4 linked regions of the Arabidopsis thaliana genome follow. The protein of the gene in region 3 interacts with the protein of the main gene of each other region in a pairwise test. Each region holds a gene or a part of one and is shown on either strand. Other genes may lie near its edges.

Region 1 (8,788 bases), on a different chromosome or scaffold from region 3:
CCAAGTTATGAAATTCTAACATCAAAACTAGGACTAGAAAAAAAACCAAAGCCGAAGATTTATTATATTGGGTTCGAAATTAAACTTGAACCCGAAGATTTACTATATTGGATCCTAAATTTTTTAATCCAAAAAATCTAAGTCGAATCCGAAAATACCGGTATTTTATTCGAAAATCTAAATTTATTCGAAATCTAAAATTTTATCCAAAAATTCAGGTATTTACTCAAAAATTCGGATATCGGTTCTAAAAGGACCCTGAAAATTTATATCCAAACCGATTAAAAACCGATTGGATACAAACTTAAACCAAACCGATATTTTGGATTTATCCCATTGAATCTTAAACTTTTATATCCAAAAAAATCATATCTAATCGGGTTTTACCCGAACTTAACCCAAATGCCCACCTTTAATTATTCAAAACCAAAAAAGAAGTGTTTGATGCTGAGGTTTGAACTCATCAGATACACGTAACTATTTTCCAATTTATTTTCGTTTATGTGCATTTCAGAATTTCAAGCATAAATATACTCTTATTGTTTAAACATTTCAAATTGCATGTGTGAAATAATATCAGAGTTAGAATATATGTTAATCTTCTCTTCTCCTAGATTCAGTTAGATACGTTTCTATCTTCTTTTAGGCAACATCTCTTGTACAAATAGTCTCTTTGGCAATTCAATACAATCAACCTTTTACGATATATATATTTGTTATTTCTTGTACAAATAGGATCAAAATTGTTATTTCTGAAGCAAATTTTCTTTAGTTTGGATGTCAATTATATCCTCGATTAATATGTAATCACGGAACGGATTCACGATGCGTTATTTTAGAAGCAAATTTATACTTGATAGTACGTTCAGAGGCATCGCTTTTGTACAAATTGAAGCGGGTTTGTTCAATATTTAAAATAACACAGGAAACATTCAAATGTATTATTGATGTTGCTTAGGTTTGTGAAATGATATGAACCATATCGTATATATTACTAGATTTTTCTTATATGTTTTAAGGGTAGTGGGGCTGACCTATCATTCTGTTTGGCATTACCAATCAGACTATCAGAGTATTCACCATTCAGGATTCCATAACTAGAAAAAGAAGGGGTTTACATTTTCTCATACTGTATAATTTTCTACTATCAGAGATTTTATCGATTACATTAATCTCATAGTGATTATTCTGATTTATAAAAAAGTTGACAAAATAATTAAAACCAGTATTTTATAACAAGATTGTCTCTCTCCCATGGCCATTATTTTGACCTCTGACTTATTTAAATCTTAATTAACAGCATAATACTGTATTAAGCGTATTTAAATGAAACAAAATAAAAGAAAAAAAGAACAAAACGAAAGAGTGGACCACATGCGTGTCAAGAAAGGCCGGTCGTTACCGTTAAGGTGTGTCGAACTGTGATTGGGCCACGTTAACGGCGTATCCAAAAGAAAGAAAGGGCACGTGTATAGATCTAGGAAAAAAGAAAGAATGGACGGTTTAGATTGTATCTAGGTACCAGGAAATGGAACGTCACACCAAACGGTACGTGTCGGATCCTGCCCGTTGATGCTGACGGTCAGCAACTTCCCCTTATTCATGCCCCCCTGCCCGTTAATTACGTGTAACCCTTCCATGCGAAAATCAAACCCTTTTTTTTTTTTGCGTTCTTCTTCAACTTTTCTTTTTAAATCAAACCTTTTCTTTTTAAAATCACATTGCATTTCCTAACGCTCAACAAAATCTCTCTCTACTAATATCTCTCTCTCTCTCTCTCTATTGTTGAAGAAGACTCATAATCGGAGATTGTTTGTTTTTGGTTTGCTCTGTAAATTGGAGAAGTTTTGTTAGAGATCAAATGGCTGGGATTTGTTGCGGTGTTGTTGGAGAGACTGAACCGGCGGCACCGGTTGATTCAACTTCTCGAGCTTCTCTTAGACGGAGGTTAGATCTACTTCCGTCGATCAAAATTGTTGCTGACTCCGCCGTTGCTCCTCCGCTTGAAAACTGCCGTAAACGGCAGAAGCGTGAGACAGTAGTGCTCTCGACGTTACCGGGAAATCTAGATCTGGATTCGAATGTGAGGAGTGAGAATAAGAAGGCTAGATCAGCGGTTACGAATTCAAATTCTGTTACGGAAGCAGAGAGTTTCTTTTCCGATGTACCTAAGATCGGTACGACGTCGGTTTGTGGTAGAAGACGAGACATGGAAGACGCTGTCTCGATTCATCCTTCGTTTCTTCAACGGAACTCTGAGAATCATCATTTCTACGGTGTCTTTGACGGCCATGGCTGCTCTCATGTACGTTAATTTCCTCTGTTTAGTAATATTTTTTTCTTTTGTTTGTGATTAGTTACTAATTAGGGTTTTGTTTGGTTGATTTTAGGTTGCGGAGAAGTGCAGAGAACGGTTGCATGATATAGTGAAGAAGGAAGTTGAAGTTATGGCTTCCGACGAGTGGACAGAGACGATGGTTAAGAGTTTTCAAAAAATGGATAAAGAAGTTAGCCAACGAGAGTGTAACTTAGTTGTTAATGGTGCTACTCGGAGTATGAAAAATTCTTGTAGATGTGAATTGCAGTCTCCTCAGTGTGACGCCGTCGGATCCACCGCTGTTGTATCGGTTGTCACGCCGGAGAAGATCATTGTTTCTAATTGCGGTGATTCACGGGCTGTGCTTTGTCGTAACGGTGTAGCCATTCCTCTCTCCGTAGATCACAAGGTAGTTAAAATTATGTCTTATATAGAATTACGAATTGGTTAGTATGAATCAAGATGGCATGGTTCTAAGAGTTTTTGTTTTGTGATGAACAGCCGGATCGACCCGATGAATTGATTCGGATCCAACAAGCTGGTGGGCGAGTTATATATTGGGATGGAGCTAGGGTTCTTGGAGTTCTTGCCATGTCTAGAGCAATTGGTGAGTGAATCTCTCTTGTGATTTGACTTTTTAGGCTATTTTGAATTACACGTTTGAATTTAATCTGATGATTATTGTTTTTGTTTGTATAGGTGATAATTACTTGAAACCGTATGTGATTCCGGATCCGGAGGTAACAGTGACGGATCGAACTGATGAGGATGAGTGTTTGATCTTGGCGAGTGATGGACTATGGGATGTTGTACCAAACGAGACGGCGTGTGGCGTGGCTCGCATGTGCCTTCGAGGTGCTGGTGCGGGTGACGACTCAGATGCGGCGCACAATGCGTGCTCCGATGCGGCGTTGCTCTTAACAAAGTTGGCTCTAGCAAGACAGAGCTCCGATAACGTGAGCGTCGTTGTGGTTGACTTGAGGAAGAGGAGGAATAATCAAGCGTCGTCTTAATAATTAGTGTTATAATTAGTAGTAGTATTAGAATAATTGTTACATAGCCTAATTGTAATTGTATTCTTTTTATTTTTCTATTTTAGTTTTTCTCATTTTAAGGTGTTTTTTCTTTTCTATTTTAGTTAGCTCTTAATTCAGGCTGGGGAAGAAAAAGAGCTGATTAAATAGTTTGAGTATTTTTCTTATTTTTCTATTCAGGTAATATTATACATGTATTCTTTTAGTATGGTCGTTGGAAATGTAATAATCTAATTCAGAGGGGAAAAATGTTAAAATGAAAGAACAGATTATGCGTATTTACCATTTTAAAACTTCGGTTAATGTTATTCGATCCGAACTGGTTTAGTATGAGTCTCGACGATGATTTGAATCCAAACCGGTTACTTACTAATCTTCCCCTATCTTAAGAAGATTTTATTTATTTTATTGGTATGGGGTCGTATGGGAGACTCGCGTGTCGTAGACCGCGGCATTTTAGCACATAATTGTAATTAAAAGATTCAAGGATAATATTAGAAACATAAATCAACAAAAATATATATATATCTTGGTGGAAGAGACTAATCTGGACAATCAATATAAGAACTAGAAAGTACAATGATTTATTAATTCTTTTAATACTAATGAAGATAGTTAAGTTAAGAGACTTGTCTGGCAACATTGTCGAATGCTTAATGTCAGTTAAGGTCGGAATCAATAATCAATTAAACAGATTTTGATTAAATTGACTAGAAAATATCAACTAGGAGGGTAAGAAAAAGGAATATGATCTTCACATTCTTTTATAAATAAATTAATATCAACTTGAACAAAAAATAATACATACTTTTAACCGTCCATTACTAGCCACTTGCCAGTTGCCACAATGACCAGATAATAAAATCTTATTCTATTCAATCATGTTTTTATAAACCCTTCACATTAATGTTTGTTAGGTATTAATCATACGTTAGGTTATGTTTTGTTTTCTAAACCAACAATTATTATGGGGTTTTGTTGAAGACATTTTTCGTAAACCTAGCATCTTTTGGATATGAAAATACCACATTTGAACCAAAACTACGGTAAATTTATATCCCCACGCGTGAAAAGTTCGATTGGATAATCCAATACATCACAATTGGTCGAAGTTTGGAGATTTCACCATCAAAAGATAAGGCACTGCCATAAAATTATTAGATCGGAATTCGCATAATGTTATAATGATGGATTGATTTTTTTAGCTGTTGCCTGTTGGGTTTGTGGAAAGAGTGAGAGGGCAACACAATAAAAGTTGGGGATTGAGAGGGACACAACACAAGTGGGAGCTTAGATAAGATTATGCCTACTTGTGACAATCAAATAGCAACACGTGTCTATTTGGTCTATGTGAGATTTGGTTTCCAAGATTTGATGTTGACCTCTCTTTCTCAATTATTCTTTCCCTTTTTTCGCTATACATCATAATGTTGTCTCAATTTGTCTTATTAAATATCTATTCATGTCCCTAATGGTTCTTACTTTATAGTATTGAGGAAGGCTTACATGACATCGTGAGTTCCTTGTGCTACATTAAAAATGTTAACAATAAGTTTGGTTTTATATCATAAGTCTAGTTTTAGCAAAACAACTAACTTTATACTTTTTCCTACATAAAATCCATTGCTAGTATAGATTTAAGTTAACTTAAAATGTCGTTAATTACATGTGTTTGGGACATAATAGAGAAACTTGGTCAGCCTTTTGACGATGTTGCCTGAAAGATATAGCTATATTCACTACAAAATACACAATTGAAATGCTCTAAAATTGTTAAAAATAACATTTTAAACCAAATATAGTTGGTAGACGATTTTAGCTCAACGGTGCAAACATACAAGTGAATTGTTCGACTAAATTTGTTAAATAAGACTTTTCACCAACTGTAGTAGTCCATCAATGATAAAAGGTAAAGAAAAGATGCATAGGCCGTAAAACCTATAATCATTGTTTTCATTTTTAAATTTGTATATTATGCAAAGGTTTAATAAAACGGAGAAGGATTTGTTTACTGACGATATTTGATTCCAAACGTAGAACACATTCTAAAAAAAAATATTTTCTTTTATGAATTTATGAATTTATGAATTAAAGAGCATAAAAAATTAAAATGACTTTAAATTTAAATAACTGAAGTAAAGAAATACTAATCAAATACAAACCATATAAGAACACCATAAGCAGAACGTAACATCATCATCTTAATGATTTGAAAGGGTCTCAGTCTCTCAGATTATGAATTTATGATGCAGTTTCATAGTGAAGAATGGTCCCAACAAGAAACTTTAAACTGTTTTTGTGTTTTAGAATTTCTCTATTTATATTTTTAGATAATGCTTCTATATCTAATTAGATAGATTTTACTTTGTTTTCAAAGTCTATCTCTTGCTCTTATTATCCTTCTTGGTCGATTTTGGTCCTAGCTAAGTTTTATTTGAAGCTTTTGTTTCTCTCATTGGTATACAGTTTTTAAAACATATAAAACAAGATTATTCTCTCAGCTAGAGTCGCTGGTCCTTTTTATATATTGTTTAAGAAGAAACTTGTCCCGACTAGTTTCTCCAAACCGCAATATATAAACCATATTTTTCTTTCCCTATTCAATTTGGTTTTAACTTTTGTTCGGTTGTAAGAAAACAGACGATAAAAAAGAAAAGAAAAGGAAACAGACGATAGCTTACGGCGAAGCAAATTAAATAATATGATATAGTAAATCATAATAATTGAAATCCATCCATATAAACAACAAGAAACGAAACTTTAGGGTCAAGCAAAATTAGGCTTTCACTTCCTTAACTTGCTACCCACGGAATATAAATTGAACCATATCCTTTACTAGAACTGTCACTAACCCTATCAAAGATCTCTCTTCCAAATCATCAATGGACGAATTAGGGTTTACTGAATCATGCTCATCCAGAGAAGAATTTAACCCCGTCTCCCACAAGAATGCACCCACTGCAAATTCTTTTTTGCAGGACAAGTTACCGATATCTGTAGGCAGACCATAGAGTTTGAGAAGTCGATCGAGTTCTTCCTCCGACATAATGTCGTACTGTTCCTTTGCGTAATTCGGGTACTGAAGAGGCATTTGAAACGAAGACGGTGACGAAGAACCAAACAAGCTGGCGAATTGGTCGCTTTCATTGTCCGATGATGAATTAGATGTTTTTTTGCCGACGACATCTATATTTTCGACATAGTCATTGTTGAAGTTTTGTAGTTCGTCACGGAAGATAATACTGAGTTTTGAAACCTTTTCCATTGTTTCAATGAAATTCTAAAATTTGACCTTCTACTAAGAAGAAATTACTTAAGCTGATATATATGCAGTTAAAAATAAATGGAAATTTTACTTTTTCGACTAAATTTAACAAAGGAAATTTTCTTATTTTTACATAATGATACGAAAATGTTATAATTACAATTAAAAGAATATACGTACTAACATTTGTTAATTAGTTATATTCTTCATTAATAAAGATTATTATTTTGATTGATATCTTAGAACGAAAAAGTAAAAGTCAAACAATATTTTTGTGAAACGGGGAATGTTAAACAAACATCACAAATAATTTTAGACATCAATGAAAAAAGTGTTGGAAAACTCTTACGTATCACACAAATCCATTTTTTAAAAAGCATGCCTTATGTATTAAAGAGAAATTGAACAAATTCTCATCTATTCATACAGAAACCAAACCAACAAACAAACTGGTCGATAAACAAAAATCCATAACAAGAAAGACGAGAATGAGAAGAGTTTTAAGGTCTCAACATCAGACATTTCTTTCTAGGTTGGTCTTGGAGTTGCCCATTCAACCCTGAGGATGAGGTTATCATAACCATAACCATTCAATTTGTTGATTGCTCTTTGAGCGTCTTCTCTGCTCACGAAATTGACGAAACCAAATCCTCTGCTCACTCCAGTTTTCTGATCAATGGCCACATAGACACGTGTGACAGCTCCAAACGGGTGGAACAGCTCCATCAAGTCAGGTTCACGGGTATCCTCGGACAGATTGGTTACACGCACAGAGTTCTCATCGTTCCTCCTCCTCATGTCTGAACCCACAGCGCTTCTGTCTGCACCTGCTCTCATGCTAGGCGGGACATACGCGGCCTTGCCAGTTCCAGGTGCAGCAGACATGGTAGATGATTCCCCTGTGGGTGGCTTGTCAATGAAGACATCGGTTGGTGCAGCTAGATCCTTGTATGGACATTTTGATGTCCAGTGATCTCCTTTCTTGTGGCATATCCTGCACACCATGAGAACTGCACCACCTTTACCCAGCTGAGACAAGCCATCTCCTGTTGCCTTTGATTCATCCGCTTTGGTACCTGAAGTATCACACACCGTTAAGATACACACAATTACACAAAGAATGAAAGATAGTTGTGAACCAATGGCCAACTCATAGTCAACTTTAAAATGATACAGTAATGCATAGCCACAGAATCAAACATAGCAACCTATGTCTGCACTATAAGCCACTGATTAACATCATCTTTGATGGCTATCTATACAACTAGTCATTCACCTATCAATAGATTGATCACGAAAGCCCTAGTAACATTATCAAGGAACTTAAACTTTGCCCGTTTACAAACCATTTGACATTGGTTCATTGAAACACAAGATCATGGTGACTCCTACATCAATCTAATTTTTTCATCAAGGTAATAACACAAAAGGAGACAACATGTCACAGGACAAAATTTTTAACAATCGAAACTAAAGCTTCCAAACATCAAATGGGAGACAACATGTCACAGGAGAAAAGCTTTAACAATCGAAACTAAAGCTTCCTAACATCAAGTAGGAGACCAATGAAAAGCTGCAACATCTATGTGTACAGTTAGCAGCCACAAAAGTGAGAGCACATTTCAGCTCGTACTCAGGAATGGACTACAAACAATAAACTGCTATCGGTGACATACTGACCAATCACACAAACAAGTAGCCTCACGGCTAACATGTGATTCGCTAATTGGTCACCTTAACCCAATAGTATTAGACTAAACAATAAAACTAATGAATCAAACAATGAATTGGACAGCAATCCCAAGTTAGAACATATCACAAACAACATCTTTCTAGGTGAGTCTAGAAACTTATTCACACAATTAGCACAGCCATAAGACTGAACATTTTACCAACTCAATTAGATCAAAGTGCACAAATTTATAATTTTAACTCCAAATTCAATACGAACCAATAACCCCACGAATCTCAACAAACAAAAATCACCAGAATCATCATCATCATCAGAGGGAGAGAATTTACCAGGAGCTCGGGGTCGTTCGAGAAGGATCTCTTCGGTAGAAACCATAGTGAGATGGCTACCAGCTTCCTCATTGGCTGCGTCTCCGAACTTAGGCCAGTTCCTCCTCTCCATGGCTCGTTTGTTGAGTCGAGCAGAAGCTAGCTTGCGGA
Region 2 (8,165 bases), on a different chromosome or scaffold from region 3:
AGCTTCTCCGATCATGAGCTTCTCTTCAATCGAAATTCGTTCTCATTCATCTCTTTCAATTTCTTTCTGATTCATGTTGTATCATTTTCCTCGCGATTCTTCAATTCGTGTTCGTGAGTGAAATCTGAGTTTCTTCATTTTCATTTTCTGACCTAATTGCTTCCGATTCTCTTCTAAATCTCTTTTCAAAGTAATCTCTATCATCTTTTGATCTTCTTTCAACTATGGAATCAAATCCATTTCGTCCATCTTTTCTTGATGCAACATCGAACAATTTCAATCCGCAACATCACAGTTTTTTTTTTTTGAAAATAATGTTAAATTAGATTAAAAAAATAGTGTTTTTACTACAAGTGCAACGTATAATTTATATGAAATAAATTGAAATCAGAAAGTAGAATGAATAAGCTTTGTGATGTTAATCGACAAGTATAAATACTTTACAATGTACACATTAAACACTTAATGAGGAATATTACGATTCTGTTATTTTTACTTTCTTTTTTCTCTCTGGACTCTTGTTTCTTCGGCTTGAATTTCTTACAAAGGAAAAGGAATCCTGATAATCCATTTGACTAAATATCGACTATAGTCTTGTATTTAGTATAGTAAAACAAGATGATGTTTATTTAAATGATGTAAATAATTTTCTTGTCTCATTTATGTCAAAAATGTATATATTTCTATTTATTTAAATAAACTGCACAATAATCCTGGTTTTGTATTCTGATGGGCATCACTCGACGTTCATGTAGACAAAAGAAGAATGAGACTTTATTGTGAATTGATGTACATTGATTTTGTGTCAAACAATTAAACAAAAATATTTGTCGGCTAATACAATTCTTTGGAAAAAGAATCATTGGGTCATTGACTCATTGGCCCATTTCCCAAATCACATATCCAGCCCGAGTCGGCACGATACAGCATCGCCGGCCTTTTGGTATGGCACAACAAACTGATTTTCACGTGGTTTAAGTTTCTCCTTTTGGTAATATTAATACACGTGGTTTAAGTTTCTCCTTTTTTCTTCAAAATGTACACCATTTGACCGTTAAGTCAACATTTCAAGTTTTCTAAGCTAGCTATTTTACACCTCCATTTCTCACCGAAGCAAACTCTATTTATGACATTCCAATACACCAGCATATAATGTTCTCGACGAGGATTCCATCATGTCCAAAAACTGGTTTTCTAATTAGTGCTTTCACCGGAAAATCTACCAGAAAAAGTGGCTGTTAACACATTTGAAAACGGAGTAAGATCGTCAACATTTTTTTTTTTTCTTTATAACTTGTGAATATATATTACCTCGAAACGAAAAAGTTATTTACAAAGTCAGAAGACAGACATGCCCAAACAAAATTTAAAAGCTAAATTTGAAATACATTTAACTGAAACAGAAAAATTAACTATGGAAGAACCATTGAGACAAGAGTCTCCCACAACATTTCATGCAAAGACGAGTTAGAAGATTGTCAATATTAGTCACATGCTATGAGAGAAGGAAAAACAAAGCATTGAAAAAGTATTCTAAAATTATCGGAGGAAGAAATATTGAAGTACGATGTTGTAGGTGATCGGGGGCAAATTGATCTTGGAATAAGTAAGCATAAAACAGTAGCAGAGGCTTGGGAAGGCTATAGACAAAGACGACACAGATCTACTCACCTTCAGGCCATAGAAACAGCTCTCTTACAACAAAGAAACGATAGAACAGAGGATGAGGACATTGTTCTTTGGAAAGGTAAAAATGACGTATATAAGCCACAGTTCTTGACTAAAGAGACCTTGAATCATATGCGGACCATATCCATGGACGTTGATTGGTATAAGGGTGTTTGGTTTGGTCATTCCACGCCAAAGTACTCTTTTTGTGTTTGGTTAGCAGTTCTTAACCGACTCTCAACAGGAGACAGAATGACTCATTGGAATGGAGGTCAGTCAGCCGCTTGTGTGCTATGTCACAACGCTCCCGAAACCCGGGATCATCTCTTCTTCTCCTGTGACTTTGCTTCGATAGTTTGGAGTAACTTAGCAAGAGGAATCTATGGAGACAGATTTTCTACACATTGGCAAGACCTGATACAAGCCATCTCCGGCTCTTGGATGACACCGCTTGACAGTTTCTTTGCGCGATATCTCTTTCAAGCCACGGTACACACCATTTGGCGCGAAAGGAACGGAAGGAATCATGGAGAGAAACCAAACTCAGCAGCTCTTTTAATCAAATGAATAGACAAACAAACTCGGAACCAGCTTTGTTCGATCAAAGCAAGTGGAGATAAGAGATATGACAAGGGCTTACAAGCTTGGTTTGCGATGAGAGAATGAGAAACAATTTTTAGATTGTATTCTAGTTTTTGCTCCAGTTTTTTCAACAAAATGTTGCACATAGATGTAAAAACGCTATTTTTTTTTTGGATTTAATTTAACATTACATTAAAAAAAAAAAAAAAAAAAGTACGATGTATATCACAAGATTATAGAAATACGAGATTCTATGTATCTAGGTGGTATCAAAGAGAAGTGAAAGGTTGAGGAAACTTTTTACAAGAAATGTAAAATGGGATGAGTGAAATTAAAGGGAATGAAAGAGAGTAGAATTGTTTTTTGGATGAGAACTCATGAGATCATACCTACACACAAGACCAACCCAAAGCTAAAACCTGTAAAGCATGGGCTTTTTAGGCAGTAGATGATTCTAAAACAATTTAAAAGCACCATTTTAGAGATATATATGGTCGAAGAGTGATTAACACTTTCACTCTCTCACCATTTTATTTTATTTTTAACGTCTTGCCTACACATTTAAAACATTAATTGGTTGATACTTTTATACTTTTTTAAGCAATTAAAATAATTTATTTAAAAATAAATGTATATAAAAAAATATTAATAGTTTATTTCTTAGATACTCAATGAGTCTCCATCCAATGAAGGTGCTCTAACAGAATCTTGAACAAGGCTACATACTATATGGTCTTGTAAATGAACATTTTCACTTTTTGGAGAGAACAGAGACAAGACAATGGACCGTGGGAGGATCCAGAGTTTCAGACCAAACATCACGTTTTTTTATCACTCGCTTCTTGTACTTCTTCAACTATCTCTGACTGTTTTACTGTTTTCTTTCACTGCTAATGCTTACACGTGCATCTGTCTCAACAATTATTTTTCAGGAAAATAAAAAATAAGAGAGATTATATATACAGTTCAAAATATAATTGCATATATATATATATATATATATATAAATTATATAAAATATACTGTTCAAATATAAAGTTTTTTTTATAGTGGTTTGGTTTCACTTTCATTGTTATCTATAATTTAGCTCACGGTGCGTACATGTAACTTACATTAAGAACAGCCAAAAAGCTCAAGCTCGTGTCCAAATTAAGATTCCGAATGGTATAGCTAGCAATATAATATATTATATGGTTTTGGATTGATAAAAACATAAAACCTAATAAAGGAATTTAATTGATATAAAAAATGAAACAATAATACAGTCTAAATATTCAATTATGAATTAAAATATTGCAATAAATCAGTTAATAGGCATTAATACTAATATGATTATACATACATGGTTAATCACTAAGAGCAACGTGAATATCAATAAACTAATTGATTTACTACGCTTGCATAATTATTTTCCTTAAAACTTTTTGATTTCGAATACTTTGTTAACACCCTGATACATGTGCATATAACATAGTAGGCTGAAATTGGACTATTCTTAGACAGTTTTCACATCTAGAATGAGATGTATAGGTTTCGTTGAGAAAAATTGTAGTTGAGATGATTAGTTATATATAACCTATGTCTGTGGGTGCTAATTTGGCAGATGGGAAAAGAATTGAAGCCTTTATATATAGTCTTCAATTATTAGTATCATCGTTAATAAAAACAGTGGTCCTTATCTCTCAACAAGTCTTTCATCAAATTCGGATAACAAAGACAAAATAGAGAATCAAAGAAAGAGACATTTGTGTTATTATCAGTAAATTATTAAAAAAATAAATAATATTAAAACACTATTATATTGGGTGTAAATTGGCTCTATGATTAGTGATTAGTTTTTTTCTTTTCCCCCATAGAACATTCAACGTTTCCCACCCATGCAAAATCCAACCTAAAAGCCAAACTTTATAAGGAAACCAACAAATAGATCCCTACAATCTAAAGATTGCAACAAAAATGCCCCAAAATTATAATCTTAGACAATCCACACCTTTTTCAATCATGTAAAACACTTCCAAACTTTTCATAGTCCATTGCTAAAAATAGTTTTAGTCTCACAAAGTTAGACCAAAATTCAATACATTCGGCGCATAATTATTTTTATACTACAATATAGTAAGTGTGATAATAACCAAACAAAAAAAGGTTAAGTGATCATTTGGTGTGGAAACAGCAAATATTGGTCTCTACTCTCTACTACAAAAACCTAGTGGGACTACAAATGAAAATAAAACACAAAAGAAAAAGAAAGTGAAAGTCTCTCTCTCTTTTCTACAAGCTGCTTCATCTTCTTCCTCTCACTCTCTCTTTCTCCAAACAAGTAAACAACAGTCAACACAAACTCATAGCCCCACCAGAAAAAAAAAATACTCCAAGAATTTATAGGTTATAAGTAAAAATTCAGTACAAGTTTGTTTGTTTGTTTATTCCATTTTCTTGTGTGTTTTTTTCCCCATAATTTATAAATTTTATAAGCAATATGGAGTCCCACAACAACAACCAGAGCAACAACAACACCACTGGTTCGGCCCATCTGGTCCCATCCATGGGACCAATCTCCGGTTCAGTCTCATTAACCACCACTGCTCCAAACTCCACTACCACCACCGTCACCGCCGCTAAAACACCCGCAAAACGACCGTCCAAGGACCGTCACATCAAAGTAGACGGACGTGGCCGGAGGATACGTATGCCGGCTATCTGCGCAGCACGTGTCTTCCAACTAACACGTGAGTTACAACACAAATCGGACGGCGAGACTATAGAGTGGCTGCTCCAACAAGCGGAGCCAGCTATCATCGCAGCCACCGGAACTGGAACCATACCGGCGAATATCTCTACTTTGAACATCTCTCTTCGAAGCAGTGGCTCTACTCTTTCAGCTCCACTGTCTAAATCTTTCCACATGGGAAGAGCGGCTCAAAACGCTGCCGTTTTTGGGTTCCAGCAACAGCTTTATCATCCTCATCATATCACGACAGATTCTTCTTCTTCTTCTCTTCCCAAAACATTCCGTGAAGAAGATCTTTTTAAAGATCCTAATTTTCTAGATCAAGAACCCGGTTCAAGATCACCTAAACCGGGATCCGAAGCTCCTGATCAAGATCCGGGTTCGACCCGGTCAAGAACACAAAATATGATACCGCCGATGTGGGCACTAGCGCCAACGCCAGCCTCCACAAACGGAGGTAGTGCTTTTTGGATGTTACCAGTCGGAGGAGGAGGAGGTCCGGCTAACGTTCAGGATCCATCACAGCACATGTGGGCGTTTAATCCGGGTCATTACCCGGGTCGAATCGGGTCGGTTCAGCTAGGGTCTATGTTAGTGGGAGGTCAACAGTTAGGGTTAGGTGTTGCAGAAAATAACAATTTGGGGCTATTTTCCGGCGGAGGAGGAGACGGTGGTCGGGTTGGTCTCGGAATGAGTCTTGAGCAAAAGCCTCAACATCAAGTGAGTGATCATGCTACTAGAGACCAAAATCCTACTATAGATGGTTCTCCTTGAAAGACTTCATGATTTCTTTGGTTTTTAAAAAGTGTGAATGTGTGATTTATTGCAACTTTTGTTGAGGACTCCAATGTTAATATGGGTTTTAGGGTTGGCTTTTCGGGATTGCCAAATTGTTATTTAAGAAAATGGATTTATTGTTTTGGTTGCATAATAATTAACGAGTTTTGCAACTCTTTTTATTCGATGCAAAAGCATGTCACTTAAAGGAAATATAGTTGAATCTCTATGTGTAACATAATGGACAAAAGAATAAATTAAATATTTATCAGAATGCCTTTTCTCTTTTGTTGAAGGGTATAATTGAATACACCTTCTTTGACCGCTCATATATTTCAAATATTTCGAATTGATTGCAGTTCGTAAAAAGCTAACGAATATAAATAAAAAATTATATGGTGTAGACTGTAGTGATAAACTTTATTGGGTGCATGAGCACCACATGTTTGGATACAAATGGGTTTTTAGATTTATATATTAATTCTCTTTTAAAATTCGTATTTTGTCTATCATACTTTTGTAGTATCTACCAAAAAATTGTCCACTTGTGGAGCAACATGGACACGTCAGAGAGAACTCCTATGCCACAGTAAATTCCAATGTGTTTGAAAAATAGGCTGGACGGGTAATCAGGCGAAATGCCGTTTTTAATGTGACTAGGGGTTAGCCCGGATATATATTTTGATAATTGATATTTTCAAGTTAGTTGATATAGTTTAAAAAAAATATTGGATTTGATTTCGGAAGTGTATATAATAGATGGTTTATTGGGATTTTTATATATTTACTATTTTTAATATATTTAAAATATATTAGAAATAATATGTTATCATGTCAAGAAGAAAGAATATGATTTATTTTACTTGTGATTTATATATCTATCATATATGGGATGTAGAAGCATGCTCCTAACTTAAGCTTTAGCAAGTTACATATTAACATAAGACTTGTTACATAATTCTGACCAATTACAATTGCTAGAATACGTGTATCAGTAATATTTTAGAAAACGTTAACATGCAAATATAAAAATATTACTTATCCTAACTTCTGTCTTTTATTAATTCGTGTATTGACTATTTCATATTTTTTATTTATCTTTCTCTCGTATTACCAATGTCAAAGCGGAGTATTTGGCAAGAAAAATTCGTGTCAAACCGCTACATATTACCTATATAAACAATTTTCCGCAATCTTGGTTCATCTGAACTCTAAATAATATCTGATGACAAAAAATAAAATCACTCTCAACATTCTCTTCGGGAAAAATGTCATGTAATCATTCAACTTTAAAAAAATGGCCATTTTATATAGGAATTTCATAGTAAGCTATTTTAAATATCAACTAAATGTTGACTGCCATATTAAACATGAAATTGCGTTGATCAGACCAATTTTGACATGACGTTAAAATGTGATTACGGAACCACTAAAAGCCGATATCAGTCGTTAACTATTCTGTAGTCATGTGTTTTGGTTATTTGTATTCTTTTTATTTTTTTTTGTCTTAGTTTTGTTGTGCGTTAACGATTGATAACAGTTGTTAGTGGTTATGTTAGTAGATTTTAAAATCATGTTTTTTTTGGCCGGGTCAACATTTAGTTGATGATTAAAATAGCCTTATACGAAATTCATGTTCAAAATAGCCTAAATTTGAAAGTTGGTAATTTGACTAACAGAATTGTTAACGACTGTTAGTGGTTCCGTTATCGGATTTTAATGTCATGTCTATATATATTGGTTAGGTCAATACAATCTCATGTTTAATACAGCAGTCAATGTTTAGTTGATGTTTAAAATAATATACTATAAAAATTCAATATAAAATGACCATTTTTTAAAGTTGGACGATTAAATGATATTTTTTCCATTTCTCTTCTCCTCTATTCTCACAGCGCAGTTCTCAAAGGTGATTTTTTTAATCATCCTTCCGTTGACCTTATACACCATCTCCGACCCTCCTCCTTCGTAGATATGCTCTGCTTCCATGCACATTTTGATGAGGGAGAAGACCCATCTATTAATAATTTCTTATGCATTGTAAACATCGATCTCAAGAAAACATTTTCTCTACGTGGTATCTATGGAACATGCAGCTGATATTAATTATTGGCTGTGATTAAACTCAAAGCTTTTATAAACTCGATGAGAGAGTAGTGATGAAACTCAAACATATTTTATCATGATGCAAGTGGCAAAGAAAGTTGACCTCACGAAGAGATCTCTTTGCATTGATCTGGACATCTGGTGACAAAAATGCATCACCAATGTTCTTTGACACTACCTTTTTACTGCTCTTCAAGTTCATAGCCGGATTTAAAACAACAAACGACCAGTTAGTATAGGCATCTTGCTTAAAGATTGTCCAGTTCTTCATCAACATAATCCATCTTTACACATCAGTTTT
Region 3 (8,291 bases):
CTTCTCAACACTAATAGAAAAGGCTTTACTCTCCACTGTAGCTTCCTCACTTATCTTCTCATTCTTCTTAGCAGATTCAGATGGGGACATGGAGCTTTCACTCCTGCAATAATATCAAAAGAAAAAAGCATAGAAATTTATAAGATGGGAAAGAATTTGAAAGAACCATTTACTTGTGAGCTAATAATATCGAATACCAATAACAAATGTACTAACTGATATATCCCAAATGACATGACTACTTTTGATTACCCCAAAAAGAACAAAGTACTTAAGGCAGAAGAATGGACTGAAGTCAAGTAGCCAAAGGAAACCTCAAGCTGACTTCTATTCATTGTTTTGAAAAGAGTATGCCGGAGGATCTTATATATGAAGGAATTTAGTTAAAACCATTTCAATAAGAAAAGCTAAATTTTACAGTAATATTTGAATTGTGGTTATAGGATACAAAAGTGACTGGAGAAGGATAGAAAAGTTAATTTACCTGCTTTTTGGAATGGCTGCATCCATGGCAGAAGGATCTTGGAGAGGAGGAATAGGTTTACTGAAATTGACGCGGCGGCGAATGAGGCGTATAGGTATTTCCGGTTTGGCAGTCACCCAATACAGCTAATTTGCGTCCTCGCATGTAGCTCCCATTAAGTTGAGTCACGGTATCAGCTACGTCTTTTCCGTGAACAACAGCTCTAACTGAGCTGAAAAATGATCAACAAAATACACAAGTCTCTAGTCGTTAAAGAGTAATAATTTTAAATAAATTGAAAGTTGGGTAACATGGGAGAAAGAAGCCTCAAACCTCTCTTTGACAAAATGGAGGCGTATGATATTTCCATATGGAGAGAAAAGTTTAACCAAAGCCCTCGAGATTTGACTCTTCCTAAGCGAAGTATCATATCCTTCAACTCTTACAATAACCTTACTGCAGTAATAGGATATTGCCGGAGATGATAAACATTATTATTATCAACAAATCTTATTTTTTTAAGAAATCAGTGTTTACTCGTTTGCGTGTGCCGGATACGGATAAGCCTCAACAGAGACATTCCATCCTCCCACGTTAACTTGAGCTGATGAGTTGGAAAGAAATGGAGGAGGAAGAAGCCACCAAAACCTGTTGAGAATCGTATTAGTCTCATCAAATTTTAAGGGAATATAAATCTCCCAGATCTCTCCACATGAAGAGAAATGTTCTGCCAACGCCGTGTAGAGATCATCAAGCGGAAGACCAGTGTCATATCCCGTAACCTTAATCCTCCCAACGTCACTGCAATAATAATAATACTATCAACGTGACATCTGAAAACATGCATCACCTTACACATACCAAATTCTCAATTTACCTCAGTTTTGGAATGTTATTCCGTTTCGCTCCCTAAAAAGTACAGGAGATCAAATCAGAAACACTTGCACTGCTAACTAACTTGCAAGTACTTTTCTTACAAACTTGTGAAGAAACCATCAATTGAGAAACAAAGATAAGAAACCAGAGTGAATCAGAAAAGCCATAAGAGTAGAGTACCATGGTGGATGAGAACATGGCTAAAATTTGTTCGACAAGAGCGAGACTCGATAACCCTTTTAACAGATTTAATTTAGGTCTGAAGAGGGCATTTATAGTTGTTTTTTTCTTTTTATTTTGGGCCTTGAATTAGTTAGCCCCATATGGTTCCTATTAAGTATCTTAGAGCATCTCCAACGGGAGAAAAATGGAGCTCTCATGACAGTCTCTCTAAATTATTGTGGAAAAAAATAAATCATAAAGGTTTAATACTGAGAGAATCGTTTCTCTTAAGAGAGATTTTGGAGCTGAAGAGAGACGCATACGTGTCGTTGTTTTTCAGTATTTCTTTTTTTTTTCCGTTTTTTTTCTCTACTATCATCTTTTCACTGGGACTTTGAGGATCATTGGACTTACCTGAAACGAGCTGGCCGACGTTGATTTCGGTAGGCTTATCGGCTCTGAGATTCATGGATTCCATACTTTGCAAGGTTTGTTCTTCTAATCTTATCGTTCGTCTTGATTCATAGAACTGTTTTTGTTTGTTCTTAAATTCGATTGTCTCTCGGTTTTCATTGTCCTATTGTTTTTCTTTTATTTTGTCTGTCTGGGTTTTGGACTTTTACTCTCGATTGCTCTTTGATTCTCGTAGCTATTGAACTAGAATTTGCAAAAGGTTGTGGAATTTGAGGTTCTAATTGTGATTTTAATGTGGTGATTTGGAAAAGAATTTAGGGACATTTTAGGTTGATTAAGGGATCTTGGCTTTGATTTGAGATACCCATCTAACGTGAAGAAGCTAGTGAAGTATATTTCAACCCCACCTGTGGTAAAGTCTAATCTTTGTGTTTCGATAGTTTCCTTTACGGTGTTTTGTATCTGACTAATATCACTTTTGATGGCTAATAGAGAGAGCTTCAGGGGATAATCCATTTGGGTGGGTATTTTTCTGGCTGTACCACTTGCAGTTTCTCAAAAGTGAGTGAAGGAACTCATTTTGGTTGATTATACTCTGAGTGAAGGAACTCATTTTCGTTGGTTCTGCTCTTCTAAGTGAAGAGGGCTTACAAGCTTGGAAAGGTGATGGCCATGTGTTTAGATTGTTGGTGCATCTATGTACTTTCCATAGATCTTCCTTTGCAATCATTTAGTGGTGAACCTGATATGTTGTTATTTCCTGCAGCAAGTTTCCAACAGAGTAATATCATGTCTGACCGGAACCATACAACGGAACATTCCACATATCGTTTTACATTTCTATTGACCTTGACCTTTATGTTTTAATTTGTCAAGAAGTCTACTGCATTTCTATTCTCTCCTATCTCATTCCTCTTTATTTACTTGCTTTCACATGGTAAGGAATTGTGAATATATGGTCTCAGCCTCTCATGTTAGACATTTCTTCTATGATTCTCATTTTTTCTATTGTGAATAATTTTTTTTCCAGACAACTCTTTTAAAAGAGACTTACCATTGGACTATGAAAAATCTTTCAAAAAAATCAGAAGCTCTCATCTTACAAATTCAAAAGATTTATACTTAAAAAATGGTGAGATCCCATTAGGAGGCTCTCACCATTGGAGATGGTCTTATGAGTTCCGTGAAGCTCTCTCGTTATTCTTACAGGGCATGATTTCGTATAATATTTTTAAAAAAACAAACGATTGGGCCTTGAATTTTTAATTAGAAAGTTAAACAAAATCTAAAAACCCACATGTGGTCTCTTGTTTTTTTTGGTGTGATGGTCGAATATTTCTAAAAACCCACAAGATTTATTAACTAGTCTTACAAATTACGATTACATTTTTTTTTTACGTTTTATCTCATTGACAGGGTATAATTTATACCGTATAAATATTATTTTCTTGTAGATCAGTCTTTTCAAAAAATGTAGTGGGATTACTGAATGCATTCCTCTATAATTAATTACGACAATTATCATAGTTGGTTTAGAAAAAAATAGTAAAATTGCACGTTTGCATGCCTATACAATTCGAGTGTACATGAAACTTGATGTAGAGTACCATACCCATGTCGCAAAATATTATTATTTATTGAAAAAATTACAAAGTCGCGATGCAACAACCTTTGTACTATATGATGAGAATATAATATAAAAATGGGCAACAAGAACAAAAGAAAATAGAGAAAAAAAGGAAAGGATAATCTTCCACCTAAACAAGTCCAAAGAAGATTGCAAGTTGCAACATCCACTTGCTTCGTCCGGCGTAAGCTCTTTGATAAGGTCTCTCACCGTCCTCCGACTTTCTCTCTCCATACATACACCACATTTACATACGCCATTTACACATATATGACAAACCCATCAACATCTGTGCATGCACGTGTGCTCATGCATGTATGTAGTTTTTACTTCGCCATGATGACCATGTCTATCTTAAAATTTACCACAATCAATCAATCATGCGCGTTACAGTCGTGTGATATTCAAAAATTGTACATGTTATTTCTCATAACTATCACTTTAGTAGATTAAGATCAGAATGTGCATATAATAAGTAAATTTTAACAATAACAGCAACATATTTTACTATAACTAATGATTTATTTAAAAAAAAAAGATAAAACTAATTCTGAAATTTCAGTTTTTTCTATGAACAATTTATTAACAGTATTCATATGTAGATAAACCTTGTAGATTCTATAATATAAAATTTATCAAGATGGAAATGAGGGATCTATAGAATACAATTAATTTTGGTGATATATATTCAAGATAATGAAGGAGGCGTCTGAGGAAAGAAATCATGGGGGCATAAGATGGTACAATGTATCATACATGGTCACACACATCTATATGATACAAATGCGTCTATATACACAACTGTTTCTATATACATACAAACACAAAGCCTTCACATCCCCAGCTATCTCTATCCATCTATCTTCAAATATATATTTTTAAAAACACACAATGTTCATATCTTATTGTTATTGTTATAAAATAAAAGATGATCATACTTTTTAAATTTCTCAAACAAAACCAACTTGACAACCGACAGCGAACAAGATCAAAAAGCTAGCTCTCTTCTTTTCTCATCAAACTTATTTCTCTCTCGATCGCAATATATACGATTCCATAAATTCTCCCAAAAACAAATTAAGAGATAGAGGAGAGATCATGAGGTCACCGGTGCAACTCCAACACGGCTCAGACGCCACTAACGGTTTCCACACGCTGCAGCCTCACGATCAGACCGATGGTCCGATCAAGAGAGTGTGTCTCACGCGCGGTATGCATGTCCCTGAACACGTTGCGATGCACCACACACACGACGTTGGTCCGGACCAGTGTTGCTCCTCGGTGGTGCAGATGATCCACGCGCCGCCTGAGTCCGTGTGGGCTCTTGTGCGGCGTTTCGATAATCCGAAGGTTTACAAGAACTTCATCAGACAGTGCCGTATCGTCCAAGGCGATGGACTACACGTCGGCGATCTCCGGGAGGTCATGGTGGTCTCTGGACTCCCGGCGGTCTCGAGCACCGAGAGGCTCGAGATCTTGGACGAGGAGCGTCACGTGATAAGCTTTAGTGTCGTTGGTGGGGACCACAGGCTCAAGAACTACCGATCGGTGACGACACTACACGCGTCGGACGACGAAGGTACCGTGGTGGTGGAGTCTTACATCGTTGATGTGCCGCCGGGAAACACGGAGGAGGAAACTCTAAGCTTCGTTGATACTATCGTCCGGTGCAACCTTCAGTCTCTGGCTCGAAGTACCAACCGGCAATAATCTCATCTTTCTTATATAAATTGCAATTATGTATCTAATTTTTTTTGTTGTTCTATTTCTTTTAGATGTTCGATCTTCTTTACAAGGAAGAAAATTTCGAGTACCTTTTCTTTCTTTTTAAATAGATATATCGGCTTAGAAAGAATTGTAATTTAATGGGGATTTCTTTGGGAGATTTATGTTGGAAATTTCGAAGTACTGTTGGGGGATTCACAAAACTTTGGATTTGGAGGGTGTTAGTACTGGTACATAAAACATTTTAAGGTGAATCTGTTAAATGAATTAATCCATTTGTTGTTTTGTACATGGTATCATTCTTTGTGACATTGTTTAATTTCTTGTACTCTTTTAAATGTTACTCTTAACCGTTTTTTTCTTTTGTGGTTTGTAAATGAATATTTGATGCATCGGTATTGTTAATGATAGACTTATTAATTTATTTCTTCATAGTATGTAACATTACTATAAGTTTGTTTTTTGTTGGTTGATCCTTGTGTCCAAATGTTCTAAATAGAAAATATAATACAAAGCCGATATTCTGATCTAAGAATCAATTAGAATGAAGCCAATAACTGTTCCACTGTCTATAATATTACCAGAGAGATAAAAGTTCAGAAATAAAAAAACTCCAATTCGTTTAACTTTAAGATTTATCGTCATCATGGATCATATTAAGGGAACATCAAATTACCTTTAAGTATTGAGTATATATATTCGAATTATCTGTCTATTACACATAATATTCTCGGGACGTAACAATTTATTAGAAGGTACTATATGTAGATGGAACTGCGTGTTAACTAAGAGGGAAATTATAAACCAGGTTATGGAATTTAAACCTGATTAGCATGTGCATTTACATAAAACATATATATTAGACCTAAAGCAAAAGTAGACGTGCTTAAACTATTACCAACTAGTCTTTCATTGGCTACTAGTCTGGTCAAGTGGAGATTATCATTTTTTATTCCCGTTTGTTTTGTTAATAAATTATAACCAACCAACCTAGTGGGTTATATTTAATTCAAATATAAGTTTTTGGTCTACTGTTTTTTTTTTTTTTTTTTTTGTTCTGGTGGGTTTATTATAATTCGTTCGATTCAAAATTTGTATTTAAGAAAGTCTAAAAGGACATGCAATTAAAATTTAGCTGGAAACGCGTTGCAACTTGCTAGTTTTTTCTGCCCCTAGTGGGATATGATACAACGAACCCTTATGCCGGTCTTAAAGAGTTAATATTTCTTTTTATCCAATTTCCTTTTAATAATAATACAAACAAGGACAATAACAAATTATCAAAATCTTGTCAAAAGAGTATTATATATCATCAAGCACACTACTATATTATTGATTAAATGTTGATTAGTGTTATTAAAATTATCTTACTATATAATATTGGATGTAAAGAAAAACAAATGTATAACCAATATCAAAACTCAAAAGATAACAATTTTTATTTTTTTTTGGTACGAATCAAAAGATAAGTATTAAATATCATAGTATTTATTGCTACAAAATTCTTTATATTTATAATCTATTGTATCACTTTATTTTGTGTTTGGTAAAACATCCTCTTTTTCTTTCTTTTCGAACAAATAAATTGAGATAAACATATTTGTACTATTCTATCACTATCATCGTGTCACCACCATATTCAAATCCATATATACACAAATGATTAAAATTTTAAAAGTAATTTTTGTTTATAATACACAAAAATGAAGATACGTAAACTATCGTACCACATCTTACAAAATTATTCGTGACATTTTATCCTTTGTTGTCCCAAATTAGTGCTGAGATACTTCAAATGTCTGATTAAGAACGGTAATAATATTTATAAGTGGCGAGGCCCAAGAATTAGCTCAAAACAAATGGGCCGAAATTATACATTTCTTTCATATTAGTAAAGCTTTTCTGGGAGAAATCCGGGCATCAATTGGTTACCGGTTCAGTATTTAAGCCTGGGTTGTGAATTCCAACATAATACCGAACCGAATTGATCAAAACGCTGCGTTTTGTTTTCAGTCATTGCAAGGTTACTGCAAGGTTAAAGCGGGAAGTGAGCAACGAGAGGCAGCGGCGGCCGTCATGGATTCATCGGCGAACATAAACAAAGCTCTAACGGAGACGCGTTTCTCCGACCTCGAACCTCCACTCTCCGGAGATATCATTGAGGCTCTTAATCAGTCTGATTTCGAGTTCTGCACTCCGGTTCAAGCCGCGACGATCCCTTTACTCTGTAGTTACAAGGATGTTGCCGTCGACGCTGCCACTGGTTCTGGAAAAACCCTAGCTTTCGTCGTTCCCCTCGTAGAAATCCTCCGTCGATCCACCTCATTCCCTCCGAAGCCTCACCAGGTAAGATAATTGCCAACTAATCTGGAAATTAGGATTTTTGTTTCGATTGTGAGCTTATCTTTGAAATTAAATTACAGGTCATGGGGGTGATTATATCGCCAACGAGAGAGCTATCAACGCAGATATATAATGTCGCACAACCATTTGTTTCGACTTTGGCAAATGTGAACTCTGTGTTGCTTGTTGGAGGCCGAGAGGTGAAAGCTGACATGAAGATTATTGAAGAAGAAGGATGCAATGTCTTGATTGGTACACCTGGAAGACTTTCTGATATTATGGAACGAATGGAGATTCTGGATTTTCGAAATCTTGAGGTACTTTTCTTCAATCAAGGATTTGTTTTAAGATAGATGTTGTTGAATCTATAGCTTGGTGTGGTTATGTTGTCTAAACAACTTAAAAGTTTAGTTTTTTTACTTAAACTGAATCGTTTTGCGTATGTAGATTCTTATTCTAGATGAGGCAGATAGGCTTTTGGAGATGGGGTTCCAAAGGCAGGTGAATTACATTATCTCACGCTTGCCAAAGCAGAGGAGGACTGGCCTCTTTTCAGCTACACAAACAGAGGGCGTTGAAGAGCTCGCCAAGGCTGGGCTTAGGAACCCTGTGAGAGTTGAAGTTCGAGCTAAGTCGAAGTCGGAATCATCCCAGCAATTGACAAACTCGAAAACCCCTTCT
Region 4 (8,624 bases), on a different chromosome or scaffold from region 3:
GAATATAAATTCATATGATATAATTTATTTATATATATTTTTGTTGATTTTTGTTTTTTCAATCAATCTCGCAATTGATTTTTTGGATATGTTTTGTTTTCATAGTCGAACGATGAATAAACGAAGAAGACAAAGTTTTTTTGTTTCTTAGATTTTCATTAATTATAATAAACAATAATATTAATTTAAATGAAATTAAAAAGATCATATTAAACAAACATAAATTACAATAATATCAAGATGATCAGACTCAATGGTTTGGTTGGTGGCTCTTCCTCCTCAACCAAATGAATATTAAAATGCTAAAATTTGAATATTCCAATTTGGCTTTCTAAATTTTTAGTTTGTCTACGGTGAGTTATGAATAACAATTCTATATCTATTTTCTAAATAGAAGTAACAAAAATGAATTAACTTTATACAATTACACATTTAACCACATTGGAAGAGAATGGTATCGAACCCTTGCTACCAAGAGAGCTCGGCTAAATGGAACAACTAACACTCAATATGACTAACGGCAACAACATGAATATCTTAATAAATACGAATACAGTTTATCCTAAATGTTACTTATTATTTGTATATGTGTAGAGAACATATTCATACGAATATTTTTGGGACAAGATAACAATTTTCATTCCTGTAAATAAAATTCCACTAAATGGTAAATAACTCGAAAGTCTCGAATGATACAATGAACTCAGTCAACATATATTTGTTTTTCCGCCTCTTACACCGACTAATCTACCACCGTGTGTTAGTATTATGATCTTTATGTTATTTAAAGCTTATCGTTGTTTAGATATATCGAACGAGTTTTTCTGTTAGGCAAACCTTACAAAAATGAATTTAAAAATTAGGAGAACAAACCCGACAATCGAAGCATGGACCCTAATTAACAACAAACAGCAAATGATATACTTTGATTTATATATTCACACATCGTGCACCGTCTTGTTCCTTTTGACAACAACCTATTACCAATATTTTAATTACAATGTTTCTAAGACACACATTGTTGGAATTATATTCTACATCGTGCACCGTCTCTCAGGTATATGTGTTCACCAAATGTTCACGTGCATCTTTCAAAATCTAGCTAAGTGTACAGCAAAAGTACGTGTCAATTATACATTGACCCAAAATAAAATGTTGGATCCGAAATGAAATAGATCTAAACAATGTTTAAGTAACACGAAACAATTTACGACAAAAAAAAAAAGTAACACGAAACAATTTACAAATCCTCAATTTAGTTTACAAACCAATAAAACTTAACATGGTATATATTATAGTCTAATTCAACCCATATAATATAACCTAAATAGGATAAGTTTTCGATTAGAAATACACCAAGAAAACCATCATTTAAATATGACATGTTAGAATGTGGAACACATAATAAAAGTAAACATATTGTTAACTTTTATAACCAAGACTAAGTGTATTATTATTATTATTTTTTTTTATTTTTTTAAAATATTAGGAGGTTTTGGGCCGAAACCCGTAATCTCTACAGACCCAAAATTACAGCATATAATATTAGTTTCGTCACTAGAATGTATTATTAGTATGAAAGAAATAACAATTAAGGGAAAGTTTGGTCAGTAAACTGAAAACCAACAACATCAAAACTGAAATAGTTTCGGTAATCCGTTTATAATTTGACTAATTAGTATGTAACTAATTCGACATAAAATACGGAAAAAGATAAATTAAAAAATAAGTTGTGAAACCGTTCGATGAAGGTTGGGAAGAAGGTGCAAATGACGTTTAGTGCGTTACTAACGTAAGAGACAGTTACACACAATTTCAAAAACAGTTCCAAAAATTTGACACGTGGCAGTTTGCTTAATGGACGACAGTTAGTTGTTTGTTGAGGATTACAGCCTGGATTTTCGTCAATCAAAAACTATATATTATAAATAAATATGATTTCATTCACATTCCAATTGGCCTAACACTCTTTTGTCGTGTTGTCCATGTCAGCAAATTTTATTTTTATTTTTCCGACCACTTACTTTTATCTTGTGTGGCCGTTTCTTTGTAACAAGTTTATGAAACAGAATATTAATCGTATCTAATCATATAAATGTAGTTTCCCGTATTGTGTAAATACTATATGACTTTGATTTGGGGCATTCAAAAACGTACCATTAACAAATAGTCACAGACAAAAAAACCATACAAAACTGAACCACATTTCTATAAACGATACAAATATTTTTATCCCAAATTTGTAGCACTAGGCAGTTTGAACCTTTTTCAGTTAGAAAGATAAACCAAAAGGAAGTAAAAAATATTAATTTCATCGCTCAAAACTGTTACAATTACTGTTTAACCAGTCATAAATTAGTTAATGTTTTTTTTTAAAAATGTGTAATCAAAATTTTACTTTCAAGAGTGCCAGCTCTATACTTGCAATTACTTTAAAATTTAAAAATATACAAATTTTAAATTATGTGTATTGTATTCTCGAGAAAAAAAAAAAAAGAAATCTATGAATAATTAAAACGTAGCATAACCGTTACAAGTATAGTTTCAAATTCAACGAATCAAAATACTTTTTTAAAAGTAGCTAATACTTTTCTCGTTTCAAATTAAATGTCGTTTTGCATATTAATTTTTGTGTCATATTAAACGTCGTTTTATATTCTATGCAGATTTTATGTATAAACTTTATTGGTCAAAAGCGTTACGAATATCGTTTCAAGTTCAACGAATCAAAACATATTTTATAAAAACATCTAATACGTTTTCCGTTTCAAATTAGATGTCGTTTTGCATTTTAATTTTTGTGTCAGTCTAATGTCGTTTTATATTTTCTACACATTTATATTTTCAAAAATTTCAGTTTTATTTTTATTGTTTAAATATATCATCCAATTTGAAAATAATACAATACAATAACAAAAATAACATTTAAATTAAACAAAAATATTTTTAGAACACTGTGATCAAATTTTATCCTCCAATATTTCCCGACCCATAAACTTTAAACCTTATGTAACTTCAAAAAAAAATTCAAATTAGTCGTTTTGTATTCTACAAAATAAAATAAAAGGAAAAAAGTTTCAGAGAAAAGGGTAAATTTGCATAACAAGGAATACAGGCTGGCGTGTCCAGTCAAAAAAGTCAGAAATCTGCATAAAAAACTGTCTTTACCCAAACTGCCAAACCTAACCGTTATCGTCTCAGATATTATTATTATTTTTCAAATAAACATTCAAAACAGCTTTCTAATTTTTCACCTCAGATTGTGCGAATAATATCAGAGCTCTTTCCTTGTAGGTTTCCGTGATTTTGTCGCTTTAACTTCCCTTCTTTTCCCACTCTCTTCTCACGCGCGCGTGCTTCCCCTTTCTCTCTTTCGACTGTATCACACGCTCCATAAACTAATAAACAGACGCACCGAGATCACGACACGTGTACACCTACAGCTGTATCCCAAAACTTTCAAAACCGCTTGCGTGGAAGAAGCGGTGCATGACTTTCTCCACCGTCTCTACCGGTTACCGGTTATTATCCATCCTCCTCTCTATCTCTCTCTCTGTTATAAATACCTTTTTTCTCCTCTCTTCAGTTTCCTCCACCTTCTTCTTCTTCTTCTTCTTCTCTACAACAAACAAACAAAAGATCTGTTTCAATGGCGGATCGTGTTAAAGGTCCATGGAGTCAAGAAGAAGATGAGCAGCTACGAAGGATGGTTGAGAAATACGGACCGAGGAATTGGTCTGCGATTAGCAAATCGATTCCAGGTCGATCTGGTAAATCGTGTAGATTACGTTGGTGTAATCAGTTATCTCCGGAGGTTGAGCATCGTCCTTTCTCGCCGGAGGAAGATGAGACTATTGTAACCGCCCGTGCTCAGTTTGGTAACAAGTGGGCGACGATTGCTCGTCTTCTTAACGGTCGTACGGATAACGCCGTTAAAAATCACTGGAACTCTACGCTTAAGAGGAAATGCAGCGGAGGTGTGGCGGTTACGACGGTGACGGAGACGGAGGAAGATCAGGATCGGCCGAAGAAGAGGAGATCTGTTAGCTTTGATTCTGCTTTTGCTCCGGTGGATACTGGATTGTACATGAGTCCTGAGAGTCCTAACGGAATCGATGTTAGTGATTCTAGCACGATTCCGTCACCGTCGTCTCCTGTTGCTCAGCTGTTTAAACCAATGCCGATTTCCGGCGGTTTTACGGTGGTTCCGCAGCCGTTACCGGTTGAAATGTCTTCGTCTTCGGAGGATCCACCTACTTCGTTGAGTTTGTCACTACCTGGAGCTGAGAACACGAGTTCGAGCCATAACAATAACAACAACGCGTTGATGTTTCCGAGATTTGAGAGTCAGATGAAGATTAATGTAGAGGAGAGAGGAGAAGGACGTAGAGGTGAGTTTATGACGGTGGTGCAGGAGATGATAAAAGCTGAAGTGAGGAGTTACATGGCGGAAATGCAGAAAACAAGTGGTGGATTCGTCGTCGGAGGTTTATACGAATCCGGCGGCAATGGTGGTTTTAGGGATTGTGGAGTAATAACACCTAAGGTTGAGTAGTTTTGGTTTAGGGTTAAAACTTGAATCGATTGGGGATTTTCAAGAGCATTCATTTTTGGGGTTTATGGTAAAATTAAAAACAAAAACAAAATGTACAGAGGAATTAAAATTTCTATGGAATAATCTTAAATCTCAAATATTTGTTACTTGTTTTGGTGATTCATAACCAAAATCTATAACAAGTCTAAATCTAAAAATTGAACCTTGATTAGTGAGACATTATCATACAAAGAGACATACTGAGTTAGTCAACAAAATGTAGGATAACTACATTCTTACATATTGTATAGATGAATTTCATGTTAATCCTTTCATAGAGCTATACAGTAACCATGATTAGTGAGACCTTGTAACATGTAGTATCAAAATCAACAAAGGTATAGATTTAACATCTATTTGAAAACATTCGAACCTTTTATTTGAAAATCTTTTGCTTGTTGTAAGAGATTTACTCTATAGTCTATAGATAGTAATTAAACCTTTTCTATAGGTTTGGTAGATTACTTCACTTTTATATAAAATTAATTACTGTCAAATCGGATTTTTGTTAACATAATTATTTTTCGACAATTTAGAAATTATCGTAAAAATTAGATCAATCTTTCTACATTCTTACAAAAAATAAATACATTGTCTAGAAAATCAGTTTTTTTTTTTCGTTTTAAATCTATAAAAAAACTGACAACAACAAAACAATACATACTTTTTAATTACTATAGAGTAAAATCTCTTACAACATGCCAAAGATTTCAAATAAATTGTAGGAAGATTTTTATGTTATTTAACCATTCTACAGTATAAATAAACACTGGTACAGCGATGTTAAAAAGTAGAGGTTAAAAAAATGCGTTAAAAACACAAAAGCTACGTCGTTTCAATAACTGGGTTTTGTCTCAAAGAAAGCTGCTTTTGGTTCCCGTAGATCTAAAGTTACGTTCGAGTCTCCCCTCTTCTCTCCACTCACTCAGCTCTTTTGATTCCCCTCCAATTTTCTCCGACGGTACGGTCGAAAAATCCAACCGGAGATCAAATGGCACTGCCGTCGATCTCATCAATCGGCGCGACGTTCTCACTCCTAATCTATTTATCTCTTCCTTATTCAATCACAGCTGGTGAAAACAACCTCCTCCACCAATCTCCAACCGCTAGATCACGACGTCCCATGGTGTTCCCATTGTTCCTCTCTCAACCAAATTCTTCTTCGAGATCCATATCAATCCCACATCGAAAACTCCACAAATCCGACTCAAAATCACTTCCTCACTCTCGCATGAGACTCTACGACGATCTTCTTATTAATGGGTAATCTCCTTTTCCATATTTCCCGATCTGGGTCATGTAAAGATGTCTCTTTTATATACTATTATATCGTATTTGTAGGTATTACACTACGAGGCTTTGGATTGGTACACCACCACAAATGTTTGCTCTTATAGTTGATTCTGGTAGTACTGTTACTTATGTTCCTTGTTCTGATTGTGAACAATGTGGCAAACACCAGGTAATGATGGCTCTAGATATCCAAATCTTGTGTCTTGTCTCGTGTAAAGTTGCAAATTTTGAAACTTTCTTATGGTTATTGATCAGGACCCAAAATTTCAGCCAGAAATGTCTAGCACTTATCAACCTGTTAAGTGTAACATGGATTGTAATTGTGATGATGATAGAGAACAATGTGTTTACGAGAGAGAGTATGCTGAACATAGTAGTAGTAAAGGTGTTCTTGGAGAAGATCTTATTTCATTTGGCAATGAAAGCCAGCTAACACCTCAACGAGCTGTTTTCGGTTGTGAAACTGTTGAAACCGGTGATCTTTATAGTCAACGTGCTGATGGGATTATTGGATTAGGTCAAGGAGATCTTAGTCTTGTTGATCAATTGGTGGATAAAGGTTTGATAAGCAACTCTTTTGGTTTGTGTTATGGAGGGATGGATGTTGGTGGTGGTTCGATGATTCTTGGCGGTTTTGATTATCCATCTGATATGGTGTTTACGGACTCGGACCCTGATCGTAGGTATGTTTCCAAGGGAATGGCTTTTTCTGATTGGTGAATGGGATCTTGTATAATCCTAACAAATACGTTTAATACCTTTCACACATTTACTCTAGTTTCGGGATGGCGACAGTCCATATTACAATATAGATTTGACGGGGATACGTGTTGCTGGGAAGCAGTTGTCTCTTCATTCGAGAGTCTTTGACGGGGAACATGGCGCCGTACTAGACAGTGGTACAACATATGCTTATCTTCCAGACGCAGCATTTGCGGCATTTGAGGAAGCTGTAAGAACTGTTCTGAGAATTGTTAATGTTTAGTTAAGTTCCCTGTTTCTCTGTTGCTTATCTTACATGAGGCTCTTATCTTGTTGTATTGAAGGTAATGAGAGAAGTTTCCACATTGAAGCAGATTGATGGTCCTGATCCAAATTTTAAAGATACTTGCTTCCAAGTCGCTGCAAGGTATTTATTATCTCTTGCAAACTTGTGGTGTATATCATAACTTATAATCAAGGCAAGTAACTGACTCTTATAATTGTTTATGCTGAAGTAATTATGTCTCGGAACTTTCAAAGATATTCCCATCGGTCGAGATGGTATTTAAGAGTGGACAGTCATGGCTGTTGTCCCCTGAAAATTACATGTTTCGAGTAAGTAATGTAGCCCTTAACCTATTATGAAGTTCCATGTTCTCTCTATAGCTAGCACTCTATGCAGTATTTATAAGTCTCTCTGTGTCTGGTGTTGGTTTAGCCACAAATCAGTAGCTGATGTGATTACTTTTTGATCAATAAAAGCATTCCAAGGTGCATGGTGCTTACTGTCTCGGTGTCTTCCCAAACGGAAAAGATCACACAACTCTTTTAGGAGGTAAATAGATATCATTACTTTGTTTGATTTTTCTCTTTTTATGGCTACCTTCATTTGTTATTATACTGCATATCATTTTACTTGCCAACAGATTCATTTGTAACAAATGATCTTATACTATTATCAGGAATTGTGGTTCGTAATACACTTGTTGTGTATGATCGTGAGAATTCGAAGGTTGGATTCTGGAGAACCAATTGTTCGGAGTTATCGGATAGGCTTCATATTGATGGTGCACCACCACCTGCTACTTTGCCTTCAAATGATTCAAATCCCTCCCACAATTCATCAAGCAATCTGTCAGGTTAGCACGACAAACTCTCTCGTCTTGGAAATTACAAACTGAAAAAAGAAACTATTTCTATTTCTCCTGATGTTTGTGGTACTTGATTCCTCAGGTGTGACTCAAGTTGGTCAAATAAACCTTGATATTCAACTAACAGTCAACTCGTCCTATCTGAAACCTCGGATTGAAGATCTCTCCAAGATATTCTCCAAGGAGCTCGATGTCAAATCTTCACAGGTGAGCCAAACTGATAAACACACAACAACTTGTAAGCCTTAAGCACTATTTTCGCCAATATTGAGTGAAAATGTGTCTGTCACAGGTCAGTTTATCGAATCTCACCTCCAAAGGAAACGAGTCTCTCGTCAGAATGGTTGTCCTCCCACCTGAACCTTCTACTTGGTTTTCAAATGTCACAGCAACGGTAATGATTACACAAAAGACTTCTCCTTACATTGCTCAATATTTTATCTTCTCACATGACATATTCCATTATGCTTCTTGTAGAATATAGTTTCTCGGTTTACAAATCATCAAATAAAGCTTCCTGAAATCTTCGGAAACTATCAGCTGGTTAATTACAAACTCGAGCCTCCAAGAAAACGGTAATCGCCATTCATTCTCAACCGTAGCTAAAAGATTATCATTCCATTGTCTCAAAAAGAAAATTCTTTTCCATTCGTTTTTTAGGACGAATAACAACATTGTCGTGATCGCGATTGGAATCATCGCTGTAATCGTCGGGTTATCAGCTTATGGAGCTTGGTTGATATGGAAACGGAAACAAACATCAATTCCATACAAGCCTGTTGATGAAGCTATAGTAGCTGAGCAAGAACTTCAACCTATATAAAGGATTTGGTACCTAGTTTTATTTTCTCCTTTTTTTCATACACAAAACTGAAAAAGCAAAG

Evidence for each region.
Region 1: the proteins of PYL5 (region 3) and PP2CA interact in binary tests that used the Arabidopsis thaliana proteins (3 or more experiments, as listed by UniProt).
Region 2: the proteins of PYL5 (region 3) and AT1G35560 interact in binary tests that used the Arabidopsis thaliana proteins (3 or more experiments, as listed by UniProt).
Region 4: the proteins of PYL5 (region 3) and MYB77 interact in binary tests that used the Arabidopsis thaliana proteins (3 or more experiments, as listed by UniProt).

What each region holds. Positions count from the first base shown.
Region 1 is NC_003074.8:3,578,723-3,587,510, reverse strand, and holds PP2CA (protein phosphatase 2CA), read left to right. Parts: upstream 1-1,660; 5' UTR 1,661-1,861; coding exon 1,862-2,305; intron 2,306-2,390; coding exon 2,391-2,726; intron 2,727-2,818; coding exon 2,819-2,924; intron 2,925-3,016; coding exon 3,017-3,330; 3' UTR 3,331-3,729; downstream 3,730-8,788. Other genes in the region: AT3G11405 (uncharacterized protein), read right to left, coding at 6,152-6,616; EIF3G1 (eukaryotic translation initiation factor 3G1), read right to left, coding at 7,145-7,692, 8,209-8,260, 8,322-8,350, 8,639-8,788. UniProt on the Arabidopsis thaliana protein: Major negative regulator of abscisic acid (ABA) responses during seed germination and cold acclimation. Confers insensitivity to ABA.
Region 2 is NC_003070.9:13,113,689-13,121,853, reverse strand, and holds AT1G35560 (TCP family transcription factor), read left to right. Parts: upstream 1-4,618; 5' UTR 4,619-4,729; coding exon 4,730-5,755; 3' UTR 5,756-6,028; downstream 6,029-8,165.
Region 3 is NC_003076.8:1,604,734-1,613,024, forward strand, and holds PYL5 (Polyketide cyclase/dehydrase and lipid transport superfamily protein), read left to right. Parts: upstream 1-4,254; 5' UTR 4,255-4,640; coding exon 4,641-5,252; 3' UTR 5,253-5,794; downstream 5,795-8,291. Other genes in the region: AT5G05420 (FKBP-like peptidyl-prolyl cis-trans isomerase family protein), read right to left, coding at 1-90; AT5G05430 (RNA-binding protein), read right to left, coding at 542-695, 797-919, 1,001-1,264, 1,341-1,372, 1,520-1,537; AT5G05450 (P-loop containing nucleoside triphosphate hydrolases superfamily protein), read left to right, coding at 7,344-7,613, 7,691-7,927, 8,058-8,291. UniProt on the Arabidopsis thaliana protein: Receptor for abscisic acid (ABA) required for ABA-mediated responses such as stomatal closure and germination inhibition.
Region 4 is NC_003074.8:18,554,077-18,562,700, reverse strand, and holds MYB77 (myb domain protein 77), read left to right. Parts: upstream 1-3,374; 5' UTR 3,375-3,649; coding exon 3,650-4,555; 3' UTR 4,556-5,094; downstream 5,095-8,624. Other genes in the region: AT3G50050 (Eukaryotic aspartyl protease family protein), read left to right, coding at 5,586-5,857, 5,936-6,056, 6,143-6,570, 6,683-6,839, 6,934-7,016, 7,105-7,204, 7,352-7,424, 7,552-7,728 and 4 more. UniProt on the Arabidopsis thaliana protein: Transcription factor involved in auxin response. Functions in auxin signal transduction and modulates lateral root growth. Interacts with ARF response factors to promote auxin-responsive gene expression.